4 linked regions of the Arabidopsis thaliana genome follow. The protein of the gene in region 4 interacts with the protein of the main gene of each other region in a pairwise test. Each region holds a gene or a part of one and is shown on either strand. Other genes may lie near its edges.

Region 1 (4,504 bases), on a different chromosome or scaffold from region 4:
GAAAAGTGGATTCATGAAGAGATTCGAAGGAAGCTGGCAAGTAAAGCCTTTGTTTGTGGATGAACATATGTGCGATCGTTTGAAACCGAAAACGCTGGAGGAGTATAACAGGTGCACTGGAGGTAAAGGGAGGATCGGATCTAAGGTAACGCTGGACCAGCTAATACAGCCAGCGATTGTTCCACCTCCGCCCATTTCTTGGTATCTCAGAGGAATCACGGCTAAGACGACAGAGATGCTTATCCATGACTTGTTGGCTGAGACCGCCAGGATCCGTGCAGCTGGAGTAATGGAGGATGGTCACTCGCCCGATGAGCAACGGATTGGCACACCTGGAGATATAAAAGAAAGATGGTCTGCACATAGAAGAACATCAAGGAGACGACGCAATGATTTGTGTTAAGTCACAGACTCACACAGTCCATGATTCTGGGATAATAGATATCTTGAGGATTTTTGGATCACCCAGCAATATGTGAACATAATATAATATTTGTTTTCATAAGATACACTGGCATATAAATGTGGGAATCTATTCCTTGTTGAAGAAGTTTACAACCATGACTCAATGACTCATGACCATTACAACCATGACTCAATGACCAATAGTGATATGAATTTTCAAATATACAAAATTTCTAATTCATTTATTTTGGTAAAGAAAGAAAGATATTTCTGTGATGAAAACGATGCAGACGTGAAAATAGGATACGCAAAAACAAGAAAGCAAAACAATCAATCATATTAATCCAGGCACAATACACGAAAGCTATTTAAAAGGGTTCTTCTAGTAAATTTTTAGGTACAAGACCATCTACTTGCACAATAAGAAACATTCACATACCCAAAAAAGCAAAAAGGTTCAGATAATATTTATAATCTCTCTTGCATCAAGACAGAGAGAGATCCCAACACAGCAGACAGAATCATCTCGATGCAACGCAATTTCTCCCTCATCATGCCTGTGCAAGAAGAGCAACACGAGGTAAAGATATAAGCATCGCAGAATAAAAAGAAACCAGCTCGTTAGATTTGTGTGTTTTTGAAGAAACTTATGTAGTTATGTTACCTTGCCAGCGATGTTGTTGGAGAGCCAGTCCAGACCTTCATAAAGCCCTTCACCTGAAGTGGCACATGTGCTCTGGATATACCTGTAGCGAGCAAAAACACACATCAGTATCGAACAGAAATTGTTTGACTTTTGAAACTTATAAGGATGTTTATTTACCAATGACGCTGACGGAGGGAGTGAAGGCCAAGCTTATCTGTGATTTCAGCAGCGTTCATAGCATTTGGAAGATCTTGCTTGTTGGCAAACACAAGCAACACAGCATCACGCAGCTCGTCCTGCAATAAAAGAGTTGGTAAGTAAAGGATTTTCAAACTAACAAAACTATGAAGAAGAACTCTTTCTCTATAGCACTGGATATTTACCTCATTCAGCATCCTGTGGAGTTCATCTCGAGCCTCAACAACTCTGTCTCTGTCATTGCTATCAACAACAAAGATTAGACCTTGAGTGTTCTGGAAGTAGTGTCTCCACAAGGGACGGATCTGAAAAAGAAGCCAAAAAGTCAGTTTATTTGGGTGAAAAGTTCCTTCATCAAACAATAAGCAGTACAGAGACTCCATACCTTGTCCTGACCCCCGACATCCCACACGGTGAAACTAATGTTCTTGTATTCCACAGTTTCCACATTGAAACCTGTTGATAGAATTTAGCATATCACTAATCGATCCTAGATTTTATACCATCATCACAATTTAAAAACCAGTACTAAGGTGTGAAGCTTCTTTACCAATAGTAGGGATGGTGGTGACAATCTCTCCGAGCTTGAGCTTGTACAAGATTGTGGTCTTACCAGCAGCATCAAGACCAACCATCAGAATTCGCATCTCCTTCTTGGCAAAAAGCCTGCTAAACAGCTTGGCGAAACTCAACCCCATTTTGCTTCACTGCAAACAAACACAACAAAGTCTAATATCAAAAACCTCATACACATTCTATATCACGCGATTTTCATCTCAGAAATCCTAAATTATGCATCTATAATGCCAAATTCAATTCTTATATCCTCTAAGAACCTGATCAATACCAAAATCGTCACTCACAAACATCAAATTTCAACGAGATCAGGCCGATCCAAACAGAGAATCAAACGTCCCGAGATATCATAATCTCTCTGATACAGATCTTCAACATCTCAGAAGCTATCAGATACAATCACAACGACGGAAAACGAAAGTGAATAGAAAATTCAACAGATCCACACTATCAGATCGTAATCAGAAACGTCGACATATATACACATCTTAAAAATAAAATCGCATTATCCATTCATGAGCAAGATCAACCTCAACGAAATCAATCACGACGATTCCAAAACCATCAAAATTCACAAGAAACGAGAAATGCAGAACACATACAGATCTACGCTAAATTGAGAATGTATGAGCACAGATCTTAGATCAAAGCGTACCTACGAAGAATGTTTCGGAGAGATCTGAGAGAGAGAGACCGCGAAGAAACGGAGAGAGCGAGAGAGACTCGAAGAAATTTGAAAGAGAAATGTGAGAGAAGCTTAAGAGAAACGCGATGACGCCGAAATGGGAAGTGGTGGAGAGCAATTTTATAAGGGAGAGGGGTACCGGTTTATTCGTCGTTTCTCACGCCAATTAACGAAATTGCCATTTGTAATTGACGGAATTACCCTCTTCGAATCTTCTATGACCAAGTGTGCAGGTGTTCGCGAGCTAACCAATTAAAACTTAACACGTGAGCAATACTCTTTTCTTAAGTGCTACTTCATCTCCAGTGAAAATTTCGTTATTTGTTGATGTTGTCTGACCAATAAGAAATCGTCATTTCAATCAATTTTGATAAATTTTATAATTATTAAAATAATTTTAATATATATAATATGATTACATATCTACATCTATTAATGATATTTTTAATGAAATTTTGTTTGTCTGGTTTGGTTAACTTTGGGAAACGTTAGCCACAAAATCATTTAAAAGATTTATTTTCAAAATGATAAAATTAATCAATTGAGAGACAATTCCGGTTTAGTATTAGCTTAAAAATTTAAACATTTGGGTCTGGTTTTGCTGCCAACCCTTAACGATCATAACAAAACATAGAGAGATGAGCAAATGCTACAAACTACCAAATAAGCATTCATTTTTTATACAAAAATATTAATCTTTACCTTAATTATAATCAATTTATAAACACTACAATGCTTTTCAATCTCATTGTATATGCTTCATTAACAAGCTATATATATAAGGTCAGTTGCTAAAGATGAATTACAACTAAATATAACGTGCACATTCCTCACTACAACGACCGTCAAAATATGTGATCACCTTAAAGCTCATCATGAGCATTTTCAGTTTCTTTTTCGACCATAATAGTTTCTGCCAAATACTGATCAGTTTGGTTTAAGCTCTTGTCGTCATGCGAATACAGACAATCCGCAGAAGGATGAACTACACCATAACCAAACCCTTCAGCAGAGTTACAATATGCTTCTACTTTTCCATCATTGCCTTCCAAGTTGATATTGTTGAGGACAATGTGGCTGCAAGGGACTGCGTCACTACACTTGAAGTTGATGGCTTTTGAGCTTTTCGTGGTTCCGGTTATGTTCCTGTACATTATCTCGGATATGTGAACCGCCGATGTCTGCAAAGAAATAGGAATCAAAAGATTAAGTTTCTTTCTTGAGGTTTGTTGATAAGTCAATGGTTATGTGAAAGAATTAAAACCTGGTTTTGACAAGTTGATGGTGAATCACAGTAGAATTGATCGATTATAATCGGATTCGCAACGTCCTGCATCACTACGTTCTCGAAACGTACACCCTTTACGTAACCATTACCACCCTGTTTTAAAGAGTTTCATCTTTCAATCAATCCTGAAAACTCTTTGGAAGGAAAGCAAAGATCAATAGAATTGAGATTTTACCTGCCATGTCTTGATTCTTAGACCATTAGTTGTGTTCTTTAAGAACGCAGTTTCCAACACAACTGCAGTGACGGTTCCTTTCGAATGTCCTTGTCCAAGACTTCCAATACTACAGAACAAGAAATTATTTGCAATCAATAATAATATATGTGTCTCATTTCTTTTTATGGTTAGAGATGGTTTACCTGATTCCATGTCCTGGTCCACAGTAGATCCTCTTCATCTTTATCTTGGCGCTTCCATTCACAATCGAGACACAATCATCTCCTGTTTTCAAGTTGAAGTGTCAGCTATAACATTTTGAGTTTAATATTATAATTACCATGATAGTGTTTTGAGTTAAATAGAAGTTTTTGGTGAAGAACCTGTGCTGATTTTACTGTCTTGGACTACAACATCGGTAGATGCGGTTATATGAATTCCATCAGTGTTGGGACTGTCTCCTGGAGATGTGACCATAACTCTAGAGATTCGAACTGTAGTTGACCGTTGTATGATCAAGTGCATCTGTTGGCTGTTCCGGATAGTTAA
Region 2 (4,697 bases), 1.8 Mb from region 4:
ACTCTATCAGACCCTAAATTCTTAGGCAAACCCTGCACCATTATAGTAAACACAGCAGTAGAATTCGCGTTCGGGTCACTGATATTCCCATTCCCATCTCTAAACCTAGTAAACTTCAACCTAGCTTCAATAGCAGCGATTCCAAAATGCGAGATAACAACAACAATAACAACAAACACAAAATGCAGCCAAAGCAAAGCTGAACCTTTCTGAATATGCGTAATCATCGTTTTCGAAAGCTCATCACTCAACAAAGCAGTCCCAGCATATAAATTCAACGGAAGCATAACCGAAACAGCTAAAACAGCAATGGAGAAAAGAAGCACAAAGCTTCCACCTTCAATTAAAAGAAACTGAGCAGCATCAGCACCACAGTGACGAGCGATCTCGCGACACGTGGCTTTCCAAACGGCGAGGAGCTTAGAGAAGAGAGCAGAAGGACCAGGCATACGACGGTGGTCGCTGCGTAGCTTAACGAAGAGAAAGATGGAGACGCAGCATAAGAGACCAATGACCGAGATATTAAGCAGATACTGAATGTTGCCGTACCAAGCATCTGGGATTTCAGGTAAGTCGCCGGAAGATGGAGGAGGAGAGAATGAATTATCTATTGTCATTGATGAAATCGGTGGCATCGCAGCTGGTGAAAAATTGCGATTCATCGCGAATTTCTCAACCAAATTGAGAAACCCAAATCTTCGAAGTTTCTTCAGAGATTCAGGATTTATACAACAAGGTTTTGATCAGGAGAAATTTGGGGGCTTTAGGGTTAGACTTTGGGGGAAGTAGATCGACGAAGATGATGGCAAAAGTAGAAAGGTAAATAGAAAAGGAGGAACAAGGAATGCTATCGCGGTTTCGAATCTCTCAAAAGATTCTTCTCCTTAAATCATGAAATTTAATCCCATCTTTTTAAGATAAATACACCCAAAAAAAACGAATTAACACAACTAAAAAATATAAATAATTTGATAGAAGTATATCAAATTGGTAATTTACAGAGTTTTTATGAATAAAACGATAGTTCTTTAAACGATAATTACATATTCTCTAAATATTTCGTGATTAGTAGAATAAGAGAATATAATCAAATTCATAACTCTTGTATATTCATTTTAATCAAATTCTCCTTAAAGCATGAAATTAATCAAATAATTTGAAGGTAAAATACCCAAAAAAATACGAAATAACATAACTAAGATCGGTTTGAGTTTGGGATGAAATAACATCCCCTGTTCTCTAATGGATGGAACTCTGTTTCGAATTTGCTTCTCGAATTTGCCATTGTAGACTATAAGCATTTGTAAGGAACTCATCTCTAATGTAGGATTTGAGTTCTTCTTATCTTCCCACTAGAACATTCATCTTAAACACAGTTATGTAATTTCCATAAGAGATATGAAACAGAGCATACTACCGTGATAATCCGGACACAATTGATATTAGTAGCCTTGTATCAAGGTACGTGTGTATTCCCCATCATATAATAAAAGAAGCTTTTGCTAATGCAAATTTCTGGTAAGTTCACAGTTTTGATGTGCAAGTTCTTTTGTATCATCAATTTAGCGATTATGGACTGCGCCATGCTTCAGATGAATAGAAAAAAGAAACTTATGCTGGTCTCGAAATCCACTAACCAAGCCATTCAACATCAAAGAAAAAAGCCCACATTATAAAAAAATAAAAAAGCCCACTTTAAACTATCAAATGCCCAACAATGGATGATGCACTAGTCGAGTCAGAGTGGACGGAGCCAAAGGCAGAGATGGATTTTAAGCTTTAATTTGTTTCCCAGATATTTTTCATCTGGTCCCTCTGTTTTTAAATAATTAACTAAAACGACTATAATAATTAATAAATTATACTATAGAGTATTTTGTGTGGATTTTTATTTACTGTTGAAACTTAAGGATACAAAAGAAAAACAATTATTCAGATAATTCGTCATTAGATCCCTTTAATTTTAGTAATTAAGTAAAAAGATTATAAAAGATGAGAAGGAGAAGATAGCTTCTTCATCGAGAAACCTCGAAATCAAAAAGCACGTCGGTGACTTGTACTCTTCAATCTCTTCTTCCTCTCTTTCACATCTCCTTCTCTCGAACCCATCGACCTGCGCTAATTCATCATCGACCTTGCTCAAATTCATCAACCATGTCTTACGATTATCTCTTCAAGTACATAATCATCGGAGACACAGGTGAGAGACCGATCTTTCACCTTTCTTAATTCCCAATTGTTTTATTTTTCTGGGTTAAATCCATTTCGTGCCGATTTTCATGTGTTTTCGTTGTTGTTTTTTTTGTCGTTTCAGGTGTGGGAAAATCGTGTCTGCTTCTGCAATTTACTGATAAGAGGTTCCAACCAGTCCACGATCTCACCATTGGTGTTGAGTTCGGTGCTCGGATGGTCACCGTCGATGGACGCCCCATCAAACTCCAAATTTGGGACACCGTACGCTTCCTCTCTCTTCTCTTGGTCGTAATTAGGTCATCAGGGAACTAATCACGTTTTATCGATTAGGATTGTTTTTTTTTTCTCCCTAAGGCAGGATGTGATTAAGAAGATTAATTGTCATAATCAATTCAATTTCTTCGTTTTTATATAAACAATGCCTCATTAGAATTGCCAATACCAAAAATTATGTTTGAAAATCATGTCCAGAGACTCAAAGTGGGGTAAAATTTCAAAAAAGTTAATCATTGCACGGTTCTTGATTAAGTTTCATAGGCTTATTGTAATAGAAGCTGAGTTCACCAGTGCATTCCTTGTTGTGATTTCTTCTGGTCAATAGTTCTTCCATTAGATGATGTATGTGTTGGAGTTGTGCTTTCTGATTAAAGTTTCGTATGATATTTTTTAGGCTGGACAAGAATCTTTTAGATCCATCACCAGATCATACTACAGAGGAGCAGCCGGAGCTTTACTGGTTTATGACATCACCAGGTTAGTTTTTGCCTTGCGACAATATATATCAGCTCGAACTTCTGAATTCCCCAGCAAGGTTTTGGAAGTGATTGGTTCTGTATTTGTGATTTGATAAACCTAGACTGTTGGAAAGGTTTTGGAAATTGGGAAGTTACTTTTATCTGAACAAAATCCTTGGCTATAATATTGGCAATGCTTGTTTGGGAGGATGTTAAGTTAACCATCCATCTTAAATTCTTGCTAAAATAGATATTTTTCCTCCATTGTTTTGGAATTTTGAAAGTTATGAAGGACATGAAGAATTGCAAGAGTTTTATCATTGAGGTTTTTCATGCTTTGATCTTTCTGAAGCTCAAAATTCTTGGTTCTTTGGGTTGCAGGAGAGAGACGTTTAACCATCTGGCAAGCTGGTTGGAGGATGCTCGGCAACATGCAAATCCTAACATGAGTATTATGCTGATTGGGAACAAATGTGATCTTGCTCACAAGAGAGCTGTTAGCAAAGAGGAAGGTCAACAGTTTGCCAAAGAACATGGCCTGCTATTCTTAGAAGCATCTGCAAGAACTGCTCAAAACGTTGAGGAGGTGACATTTCTTCCTTGCAACTCTTTTTCCCCATCCTGTTATTTGGCTGTAATCACATGGAGACTTTTGTCTTCTTTTTCTGGATTCCAACAGGCCTTCATAGAGACTGCTGCCAAGATCCTCCAGAACATTCAGGATGGTGTCTTTGATGTATCCAACGAGGTAATTTCCTTGTTGAATCTGGCAATATACTTAGTCTTCTGGTGTTCTCTAATCCCTCGATTGTGTTACAATGTGATTCAATTCCCTTGGTCTCTCTAAATTTTGCAGTCATCAGGTATCAAGATTGGTTACGGGCGTACTCAAGGTGCAGCTGGAGGAAGAGATGGTACGATCTCTCAGGGAGGTGGCTGTTGTGGTTAAAAAATCCTCGAGAGAGGTGTCACATATCTGCTGTAATCTGGTGATTCAGAAACTACTATTGCTTCTATTTACCTCTGCAAATGGATACACCAGAATGTATAGTTTCTCTTTCTTTCTTTCTTTTTTTCTCTTTTTCCCAGATTGTCTTTTATCAAAAAACCAAACGGGTGCATTTAAGAGTGAACAGGCTGATCTTTATAAACCAAACAGGCGTTGGCTTATTTAAAACGTTGTCGCTTTGTATGAAGCTCTCAAGGTTAAGTAATTGAAATCAAATCAGAATAATATCCAGTCATCATCTAGGTGAAATTTCCTTATTCATCTAAACGAACTGGTTTTAAAATACCCAGATGGTTCACAGAGATCCCAATAAGCAAATAGAAGTAGAAAACGAAGAAGCCATGATACCATCTTTCTTCCTCTTGGTCCCTTTGCTTTAACGCCTATTAGGTAATGTCCCTTCCCTAAGCCGCAAGTTATTGTATGTTCGCGTCACTAACATCAGTCTCGGATCATCCTCTGGTATTTCGCGTTCCTATGATTACCACACCACAAAAACCATCAATAACTAATACCAAGAGAAAGAAAGTTTGTGGTCAAATAAGAAAAAGGTTTTTTATTACTTTCAAGCCCTTGTAGTAAGCTTCAACAGCAGCTAGTGTTGGTAGAATATTCCGAGCTAGCATCAGATCCCATATCATATTTGCAACTGTGTACCCTCCCGTCTGCCATAAAGAAAATGTTTTTTTTTTTTTAACTTTCACTAAGCCAACTCTTTATATCAGTAAGATATTTCCAAAGTTTTTAGGGGAAGTTCAAGA
Region 3 (3,365 bases), on a different chromosome or scaffold from region 4:
AAGGGAGATGTGGGACTTTGCAATAATAAGTGGATACTTGTCTTGTTCAATCGTTTCATTAGGGGGATTAAAACAGCATTCTACTGTGTGTTTCTGCATCTAGCTTGATTAAAAAACAATTGATTTATGCAGGAAAAGTGTGAAAATCTAGAGGATGCAGGGAACGAGTTGATCCTTGCTGATGAGGAGATGGTGCGTTTTCAAATAGGAGAAGTGTTTGCTCATGTGCCGAGGGACGACGTAGAAACAAAGATAGAAGAGATGAAAGAAGCGACCTGCAAAAGCCTTGAGAAACTCGAGCAAGAGAAGGAATCAATTGTAACACAAATGGCAGCGCTGAAGAAGGTATTGTATGCTAAGTTCAAAGATTCTATCAATCTTGAAGAAGACTAGTTAGTAGTTATTCCCAACTTTGTTTTTCTTCTATTGCATCAGTTTATGATTCTACTGTGAGTGTAGACCAAAGGATTCTTGAATTTAACATACTGGTTTTGTTCATTATGAAATTTCATCTGGTTAATGCATACTTTTCTTTTTCTATCGGAAATTATGTTTTTGGCAATTCTATAAAATACCATAACACCAATTTGTTTTTTCCCAGAATTTGTATACATTCAAACAAAATGAAACACACACGCCAAAATATAAATACAAGAATCTTTGGGAAATCCAAAATACAAAGCCCTAAATTGATTCCCTTAGCTTCTTCAATCAAAAACCCAAGAAATTACGAGTAATTCTCCAAACCGGTTTACTCAAATTGGGGTATAACTCGACGGTGGCCGGTTACCAGAACCGGCAGACACCAGGCCACCACGGCGAGCACTTTCTTCATCAAGAAACAAATCATCGGTATTACGAAAAGCGCCGTGAGCTCCGACGATGAGCAAACCAATGATCAGCGAAACCAGAACGTTTTCGCCCACATCTGTATATACCAATGCCAAAACCGTTACCAAGCTGAGTAAAACCAGCACGATCTTGTCATCTACTTCTTTCCCCGAAATCACAATCGAATCGTTTGCGTCTCGAGAGAAATAGAGAAGAATCCATCCGATGAAGACGACGATGAAAGCGATCATAGACATCGGATGGTAAATAAGGCCGAGGAAAACAATGGCGAGAACGGCGAGAGCGTAATTTCCACGGAAATAAGAGATGTTGTGCTTTAGATGCGCCATGGCTTCATCATACCCGCGAGGGAGAGAGAGCGCGGACAGATCGAGAATCTCTCGCCATGGACGGAGCGTCGTGATCATCGATTGCGTCGTCTGCTTGGCGCGTGCACTCAACGTCCCGATGATTGTGGTGTTGGAAGTGGAAGAAGGACCGACTCCTCCACCACCAGCGCCGCCATAACCGTACGGCGGAGGTTTCTGATTCATCGGAATTGGTTGATTTTGTGTTTGAAAATAACACAAATCTGTGGTCAAATGGCAAAACCTTGGATTTCAAAGAGTCCATGTGGAATATGGGATGATGGGAGGGACTTGTTCGGTGATTATTATTTTCTTTTGGGACCTTGTAGTTTTTTTATTATTACAAATAAACCATAAACAAATCAACTTTTACCGATCGCCTCTATTTCCACATAATCATGAATCGTCATAGTTTTTGTAAAATTACAGAATTGTGATGGATCTAAGTCTTCTAATGATATTTTTGTTTTTGCTGATCTTCTAATCTTTAATCGCTAGAGAAGAGATATCGTTATTAATGGATAAAAAATATGTTGAAATCTTTCGAACCAATAGGTTCTCTTTAGTGAGTATCTGACTGAATAAAAAATACCAACATTTCACGTCGGTAGGCTTCTTAGTGATGCCTGAATTATACAGAAGAAATTGACCGCCAATTTTCATATATACAAGAAAAAAAAAAAACAAGTAGAAGCTTCTTCATCATCATTTATCTCTTTGCTTTGGTTTCGATTGGTTTAGGTCTAGGAGAAGAGACTGAGCCACCACCACCACCAAGTGCTGCAGCTGCTGACTCCACATGTGTGAGCAGATACTCGTAGATCTTCTTCCGTAATCGATCGATTGTTTCCTTAGAGACTTCTTGTAACCCTTCTTCATCCTCTTTCGATCCAATCTCGTCTAACCAATCATTCACACTCTTCAGCTGAGACAGCATCCCCGCAATCTGCCCATTATCAGACAGACTGAGACTGGATGATGTAATCACGTCAGCGTCTAAGAATCTCTCTACGAAACCCAAAAACCAATCTTGTGAAACCATTTGCAACTTCTCTGCCAGATCAGTTGCCTCGTTTAGACCATTCCCTTTCACCCAGTTTAACGGTGGAGACTCTGACCCTGCTACCGAGGTGGCTTTCTGGCTGCTACTGTTCTCCCTGTGTTTACGGATCATTCCTTGTGCTACGAGTTTAGATCCAATCGTTGGCTTGTTTTGAATATTCCCACGGGTTTTACTAGAGGAATTATTACCCGGGCTCTCGAGTATGATCACGGGTTTGCTCCTGGAGGCAGCAAGTTTGGCTTGTTTGCTGGAGTAGACAGAGAAGGGCGATAAGTTAGTGACTAACGCAGCTTGGACCCATGAGGCTGCCAATTTCTGCTTTTCCGATGCCGCTTTTATAGCTTCCTCGGATCTGTTTTCTTCATTATCTGGGGAGGACATCAAAGAGAGTAATTTGGACAATGACTCTGTTATTACTTGGACGTTTTTCAAACCGGAATGGAGCTTCAAGAACTGCTCAACGACTGGCAATGGATCATCTTCCTTCGCCGTTGACAAAAGATCGGAGTACATACTACAAAAAGGAAAAGCAGAACAAAGTTCAGAAACCACCAAGGCAGTAACAATAACATTCAGATACAAAAAACATTTATGTTTTGTCCCTCAAACATCCAAAGCCGGCCTGAATAAAACTTGGTTAAGATATTACGCACATGAGGCACTGAAGTAAGCTCTCGGAAGCAGAGGCTTCTTGCAGGGCCTCTATTGCGACTACTTGAGCAGCTTCTCTATGCCTCAATACTTCCTGCAAATATTGATAGCAGCAATGACTCAATAAGCTGTCTTAATATTTAATCACGATGTCAAAGACCAAAACATAAGATGCATATGCTATACTAAGAGGTTCTCTTCAATCACCAGAGTAAATATGTTAGTTTGGATGATCGAATTTCTAAACTGCTTGTTTTGAAGATGAATTTTCTTAATCACTAGAAATGCTTCAAAGCCTATTAATGAAGCAAGCACATATAAGGATCCAAGAGCAGTCAAGGCCATACCTGTCCCATCCTCGAAAGAGATGGAGGGAGTGAACTCCATTGGATATTGGCCGCCGCTAATCTTTTACCATTAACAGAGACTTTGACCAAATTCCCAGGCAATCC
Region 4 (6,382 bases):
TCACTAAGTAACCGAAGATAGCTCTTGCTTTTGGTGGGACAGTTAAACCATTTCTTGCGGCATTCATCTCAAAGGCGGAGTGATAGATGTTACCGTTTGGAGATGGATCTGGCATAATCATATCTACTTCCATCTCAGTGAATCTTTTCCATTTAACCTTCGTTCTCATTGCCTTTTCTTGCTCGTTGGGGTTCGCCATTTTATTTTTGCACCAAGTTGCTGTGACTTTGGGGTGTTAGAGGAAGTGGAAGTGGCGATGTTTATAAACAAGAAAATCAAGTGGAAGTAGAAACGTTAAAGTGCCTTTAAGATAGATACATGCTTCTTTCTTGACTCAAATCGAGTCCCAAGACTTGTTGTTGGCCTCTCGACTACTGTATCTAGTTAAGATGAATTGTTAGTACCAATATCTCTCTTAATTATCTCTTCCACGTTTTGTGTTTTTCAAGGTTAGCTAAAACTTTCTGGTGAATTTTTAAAGAGACCAAGAGTTCATTTTGTAAGAAAGTAATTTGAGGAAAATAAAGAATAATTCTAGAGTTTGATGGAATTATAAGAAATTATGAATTAAGCATAAAGATAAGTTGCAAAAGAAAGAGTTCGAATGAAATTAAAGATATCGCAATATATATCCACGTAAAATAGAAAAATACACTAAAATACAACCAAGCTTTTGCTAGAATTTCTCTAGTAATGTCTAATCTTCTGTGTAAAAATGCTGAAATAAATTGTCCAAAACAATACAAAATAATAAAGGAAAGAAGTCAACACTTGTGCACAACGAGCCTCTAAAAACCCATCAGACACCAACTCGAGACTTTCCCTTCATTCAACAAGCAACCTGTCCGGTGAGCTAGCTGACTTTAGAACAGTCCAACAACAATGGCGTTTTAACCTCGTGACCTGGAGCGATTAAGAAGCAACAGATTAAGAAACGACAATGAAGCACCTAATGTTATGTGGCATCAGATACTCAAAACCACATTCCATAATCTGAGTATGGTTCTGTTACTAACACTACATATTTGTTTATTTTCACACTAACTAGACTACATGATTTCCTCTGAGGCTGGAAGCTAGAAAACTCGTAACTACAATGCTTTTAAGAGAGGAGATGTTCCTTAGTGTGGCTAATGTCAAGCAAAAGTTAAACGTGAGAGTGTACCTCGACTATTTTGAGAGCGTGGAACAATGAATATCACTTGTCAGTGTGAGCCCTTTTGGCCTTACGACGACCATGGTGATGAGGGTGTTTAACAGGTTTCTTTGTCTTTGTGCTGCGATAAACAATAATATGAGATATTTTTATGATTAAGAATATTACATAAAATGACTAAATGGATTACTTAAAAGACTTGCCAGAAGAGAGAAGAGAGCACTCTGTAAGCAACGAAGATGGGAAATACCAACAATGCAGAGGCCTGCAGTGCATAGATTTTAGATTTGAAGTTAGAGAGGAAACAAATAAAGGATGCATTCTCAGAATACGTTCTAGAAGAAAGTAAGGCAAAATACCGCAAACCAAACAAACTCATTGGTAGCAAAAGGCTCCGTCAGCTCATGGCTTTTCAGTTTTCGTTCAACATGGGCTTGGACCTTCACAGACAAACACAGATTTTAGCTTTACAAGTCGAGCATACTTTTTGATGAGTCCGAGAAGTGGAATAACTCAGATTTATTTTTAGTATACATTAGCAGGATTTTGGTTTCAGACCTGATTGTGATAAGTTGTGGCGGATTCAAGGAACTCTGTATAGACGATGATCACCTTGGTTGTGTAAGGTTTCATGGCAACCTTCATTTTATCAACATGTGGTTTCGTGGTCGTGGCCACTTGGTCGACATATGGCTTGCTGAACTTTTTGGCCTCCTGGAAATTGTAACAGGCATAAAGTTTACATCCGTAAATACTAGTTGATTAATTGTGTACCAAACCTATCAGTGAAAAAATAAACTGAAAAAGACACTATACCTGATAATAGGGGTCTACAAATTCTTGAACCGTGACAATGTGAGGGGAAACAGCACTCTTTGATGAATGGTAAGCCTCTTTAGCTTTGATGGATAGTGTTCGGAAGTGTGGCTCAACATGTATAGTAACGGTTTCCTTGATGGCTGGAATATATTTCTGCAAGTAGTGTCATAAGACATAGTAATATGAGCCAATTATAACTCTAGAGATTTGTGATTCACCAAAAATGCAGGCATTCCATTAATGTCAAAGAAATTTACTACAAAAAAAATTGCCAATAAGATGCTTACAGTTTTAACGTTTTCGACATGTGGTTCAGCCCACTTTTCAGCTTGAGCTTTTGCTTCCGTCACCTACTCAATAATAAGTAAACTTCATTAGCCAGATGCTCTCATACTGTTTAGAGGCATAAATCTCAATAGGAGTATAGGACAAAAGTTAAACAGTACCTTTAGAATTACTGTCTCCACAGCAGGTTTCCCATGGGCCTCCCAATGTGTCTCGGTATAAGTCTATAGGTACATGAAATTCCCTATGTTAATTGGGGGGGATAACTACTATGTTGTAAAACTGTAAAAAGGCCAGCATAAACCTTACCTGAAATTTAAACCAGTGAACAGCAAGCCAAGGGGGAAGCCACGAACCATGAGCCTGAGTAAATAAAACAATTGACATTAGCTTTCTGCCGACTTCCAGATTCCAGGCTCCGCTAATTTCCCACACAATGAAAATCTAATGCTATAATAGCATCAGAGAAAGCCAAATGTAAAACTGTGTCAAACTAATACCTCTAGCAGTTCCTTCGCCTTTGTGGTTGCTTCGAGCTTTGTCCTCAACATTTCTTCCTGAAATTTAAAATTTAGAAAAAAACTATATGTGAGGCAAATCTACTTTAATAAGAGGTTACTGTACCTCAGCTATCTTAATAGCACGTTCAAGTTTTCCTATTTTGTTCTTCTGCTCTTCATTTGTCTTCTGAAGCTGCAAGACATCAGATACTATAATTAAATGTCTCAGGACATTACTATAAGAATTGGTTCAACCAAAAGTACATATCCATAAAAGGGACCATAAAAGCATGGTCGATGGTATAGTAAGAAGGAGGGAAAGTTCTGATGGTATAATAAGACTGCATAACGAAACTCTGTTCTATATAATTCTCATACAACTCAAGATCGAATTAAGATCAAACACGAGTATCAAATCATCCAAGGAGCTGTCCTAATGAGAACTAATATAGCTGAGAACGGAAATTGCAATGCTAATAACATAGCATAAATGACGAGGCTTAGAACATGAAGATATTTTGACCTCAACCTTAAACAAAGTCTAGCTAAAGCTGAGATAAAAAAAAACGTAACTAAGCATTTACCATGTCCCTTAGAGAAAAAACAAATGAAATGGTGTAATGCAAAAAATGAAACGAGGGATGTAAACAAATATACTTTGTCAAGGCTCGAGTTAAGTTCCCTTAGTTTTTTCTCAGCTTCATTAGTCCGAGCTTCAGTGGAATCTTTCTCCTTGTTTTTTTGCTCCAAGAAGTTCTTGAGAACCTCAACCTAAACGACAGTAGTAGGATCGCAAAAATCAGATAACCGTTTGCAAATTCTAACCATATAAATAGATTGAGTTTTTGAACTTAAAAATTTCACCTGCTTCTCTAATTCATCAGCTCGTGCTTGAGCCTTTCCCAACTGTTTTGCAGAATCTGATGATCCCTTTTTCTGGAGATGAGTGAAAACACACAGATCAGATTTAAGCCAAACATGTCAAAAAGATTAGAAATTTTTTATCACAAGTTCCAAAAAAAAGTAGATGAAACTGAAACCATATAAGATCCATACCTGTAGTGATGAGACTTCAGTCTGCAAGGAAGCAATCTTGTCTTCCCTTTCTTTGAGTAGTTTCTCCTTCTCTGCTACTACCTCGTCTTTGCCCTGAACTTCCCGGGTTTTCTCATCGATTTGAGATTCTTCAAAACAAAACAAAAACAAAACATAAAGCTCAAACCCCAAAATTTGCATTCACCAAATAATCAAGCTATAACAAGCTCGAATCAGAACGGATTAGGCATTTCACAAATTCCACAAAACCATAGCAAGCAATTCGACATTGGGAACAAGTTAATACGATTCATATCTGAAATCGATCCAAAAGCTACTAATTTAAGTCAATGCTATAAGAACAGAGAAACACATCAAGTAGCTGAAACGGTAATTCTATCAGCGTCAGACCAATAACATGCGAACTCTGCAGATTCCGATTTCAAATACGAATCAAAGTCGAATAAAAATCAAAACTTCGCAATCATTCGATCAGATGGAAGAGTCTGAACAATGCAAGTCGGTAACTAACCTAGGGCACGGATCTTGGCATTAAGCTGATCCAGGTGGATCTTGGAAGAGCCATCGGATCCGGCAGCCTCAGAAACCTCCGGCTCATCAGCATCGGCGAAGACGCTGGTGGTGAAAAGCAAGGCAAGAAGTAACAAAGCGACGAGCTTCGCAGCCGCCATGTCTAAGATTCACCACCGTCGATCAACAAAAAGGGACGGAGATTCCAACGAACAAGAGAAACGTTTCCTCTCTGCTCTCTCACGATCTCTCTGTATATTTATGAAGGTGTGTTTTTGACCATGGACCGTAGAAATTTCTTAACCAGTAGGAAAAAAAGAAACAGCGTGCCAAGACGAGAGAGAGAGAGATAGATGGTACTAAACGTGAGGTAAATGGCTTCGTGGGTATGTCGTGACCGACGATGACACGCGGCATCCATCGGATCCACTTTTGTATTTTCACATTAATGACGTGGCGTAAATCCAATGGTTGATCCTTTTTGGGTAAAATATGACAACCAATTAACCAGTCGATATTATTATTATTGTCCTTTTTCGAAAGCAATTCAATCAGATCATCAAATTAATGACATTCATCTACTTGCCTGCTAACTAATCGTGGAGTACTAATTTTACTATATCCAGATTAAACCATTAGATATTCGATGCACCATTTAATTTCTCGTTAACTAAGCAACTTCTATTCTGAATTTTTCGATACTCGTTTTTTTAATTGCCTGAGAGCTAAGAATCTTTGTTTTTCTCTCCAAACAACACCGGCACGTTAACAATTTTATAAGTACGTATTATGTTATTACTATGCTTGATCCAACACAATTTGCCCTAATTTAAAAAGAATTTATGTAAAGGTTGGAATCACGATTCGCGATAGCTAAATCTATACGATTAATTGATTGGATCACAGAATCATGACAAATAAGTACCGCTGGATTATCAGAGATGTGTCTGGTCTATCGTTTGCTTTATGGCATTAACCAATTTATAATACTAGTTTTAACAAGACAAAAGTATAATTAATTAGCAACTACTCAATAATAATTATATGTACGTGGTACGTGGAGTTTGCCAACTCAAACCAGAAGCAATGACATTAACGTAATTCATCTTTTCATTAATTATAATCTCCGGTGTATAAAGCAAGGCCTAGTTGAAAATGCATATACTGATAATATTGAAAATGTATATTATTAATATACTCCAAAGTTCTCCAACGTTGCGGTCTCATCAAATCATCAGCCTCACAAATGTTTTGTTCTTCTCTAAGTTTCCCAAAAAAAAAAAAAAGGGGATGAAGTTCGATTATAGTCTATGATTCACAGGTGTTCAAAAAAAGGACAGAAAAAAGTCTCATTAAACCCAAAAAAAAAAAAGATTATAGTTTATGATTTCTTATAAGTTATATATTAGTAAAAAAGAATTACAGGTGAGTAAATGATCAAACACAAAACAGTCCAGTGATCTTCCAAACTTGATGTTGTATTTGAGTTTTGTTAAATCATTACAGAGATGTCTATCATCGTAATCCTTCGCTTTGAGCTCCTACTTCAATTCTTCAAAAGTGCAAATGCCTTCATCATCTCTTGACATTTATTTTTATAAAAAGGCTTGAAGAAAAAGAGAAAAATATCACATGCCTAACAGGCCACAGTTTATAATTTTATTAGATTTAGGCCCACTTAAGGACAGCCCATGGTACTTTTGCCAACAGTTTAATTGGCTATCTCTATGATATATCTCTGGCTATCTCGTTGTTAAATGGTCAGTAGCTATTATCCATGAAATTTGTGTATCAACGGATAGTCACGAGTAAGTTATTTAGCAACTGTCGTTTAGCTATTTAGCTACGTACGAAACTAAAGTTTTAACTACGAAAATTTTCATCACTAAAATTGTATTTGTTTGTAGCATGAAATAGCTTTTTGTTTACCTAATCTAAACCAAAATTGAAAATATATATATGAAAAATAGAGTTAGTTAACATACAATGATACAATTTTAATCTAGGCGAACATGGGCTTCAGAACTAGATTCGGATATAATTAGCTAACATCATA

What was found.
Region 1: the proteins of AT4G31340 (region 4) and ARFA1D interact in a protein complementation assay, tested with the Arabidopsis thaliana proteins (one large-scale study listed by BioGRID).
Region 2: the proteins of AT4G31340 (region 4) and GB2 interact in a protein complementation assay, tested with the Arabidopsis thaliana proteins (one large-scale study listed by BioGRID).
Region 3: the proteins of AT4G31340 (region 4) and PRA1.E interact in a protein complementation assay, tested with the Arabidopsis thaliana proteins (one large-scale study listed by BioGRID).

The regions. Positions count from the first base shown.
Region 1 is NC_003070.9:26,563,206-26,567,709, forward strand, and holds ARFA1D (Ras-related small GTP-binding family protein), read right to left. Parts: upstream 2,607-4,504; 5' UTR 2,481-2,606; exon of another isoform or gene 1,957-2,480; 5' UTR 1,948-1,956; coding exon 1,800-1,947; intron 1,706-1,799; coding exon 1,635-1,705; intron 1,555-1,634; coding exon 1,435-1,554; intron 1,348-1,434; coding exon 1,229-1,347; intron 1,152-1,228; coding exon 1,070-1,151; intron 963-1,069; coding exon 957-962; 3' UTR 513-956; downstream 1-512. Other genes in the region: AT1G70480 (OBP32pep, putative (DUF220)), read left to right, coding at 1-403; AT1G70500 (Pectin lyase-like superfamily protein), read right to left, coding at 3,374-3,691, 3,775-3,891, 3,974-4,082, 4,159-4,240, 4,339-4,504. UniProt on the Arabidopsis thaliana protein: GTP-binding protein involved in protein trafficking; may modulate vesicle budding and uncoating within the Golgi apparatus.
Region 2 is NC_003075.7:16,986,297-16,990,993, reverse strand, and holds GB2 (GTP-binding 2), read left to right. Parts: upstream 1-1,946; 5' UTR 1,947-2,154; coding exon 2,155-2,200; exon of another isoform or gene 2,201-2,314; coding exon 2,315-2,454; intron 2,455-2,863; coding exon 2,864-2,946; intron 2,947-3,308; coding exon 3,309-3,513; intron 3,514-3,606; coding exon 3,607-3,675; intron 3,676-3,783; coding exon 3,784-3,876; 3' UTR 3,877-4,154; downstream 4,155-4,697. Other genes in the region: AT4G35870 (early-responsive to dehydration stress protein (ERD4)), read right to left, coding at 1-662; AT4G35850 (Pentatricopeptide repeat (PPR) superfamily protein), read right to left, coding at 4,313-4,411, 4,500-4,601. UniProt on the Arabidopsis thaliana protein: Intracellular vesicle trafficking and protein transport.
Region 3 is NC_003070.9:2,806,953-2,810,317, reverse strand, and holds PRA1.E (prenylated RAB acceptor 1.E), read right to left. Parts: upstream 1,559-3,365; 5' UTR 1,386-1,558; coding exon 756-1,385; 3' UTR 543-755; downstream 1-542. Other genes in the region: AIP3 (ABI3-interacting protein 3), read left to right, coding at 133-393; AT1G08760 (GPI-anchored adhesin-like protein, putative (DUF936)), read right to left, coding at 1,909-2,776, 2,916-3,007, 3,261-3,365. UniProt on the Arabidopsis thaliana protein: May be involved in both secretory and endocytic intracellular trafficking in the endosomal/prevacuolar compartments.
Region 4 is NC_003075.7:15,203,767-15,210,148, reverse strand, and holds AT4G31340 (myosin heavy chain-like protein), read right to left. Parts: upstream 4,713-6,382; 5' UTR 4,488-4,712; coding exon 4,328-4,487; intron 3,945-4,327; coding exon 3,817-3,944; intron 3,697-3,816; coding exon 3,625-3,696; intron 3,532-3,624; coding exon 3,418-3,531; intron 2,954-3,417; coding exon 2,885-2,953; intron 2,818-2,884; coding exon 2,761-2,817; intron 2,624-2,760; coding exon 2,570-2,623; intron 2,485-2,569; coding exon 2,422-2,484; intron 2,326-2,421; coding exon 2,263-2,325; intron 2,129-2,262; coding exon 1,973-2,128; intron 1,871-1,972; coding exon 1,715-1,870; intron 1,597-1,714; coding exon 1,516-1,596; intron 1,422-1,515; coding exon 1,360-1,421; coding exon of another isoform or gene 1,356-1,359; intron 1,278-1,355; coding exon 1,199-1,277; 3' UTR 1,166-1,198; intron 904-1,165; 3' UTR 545-903; downstream 1-544.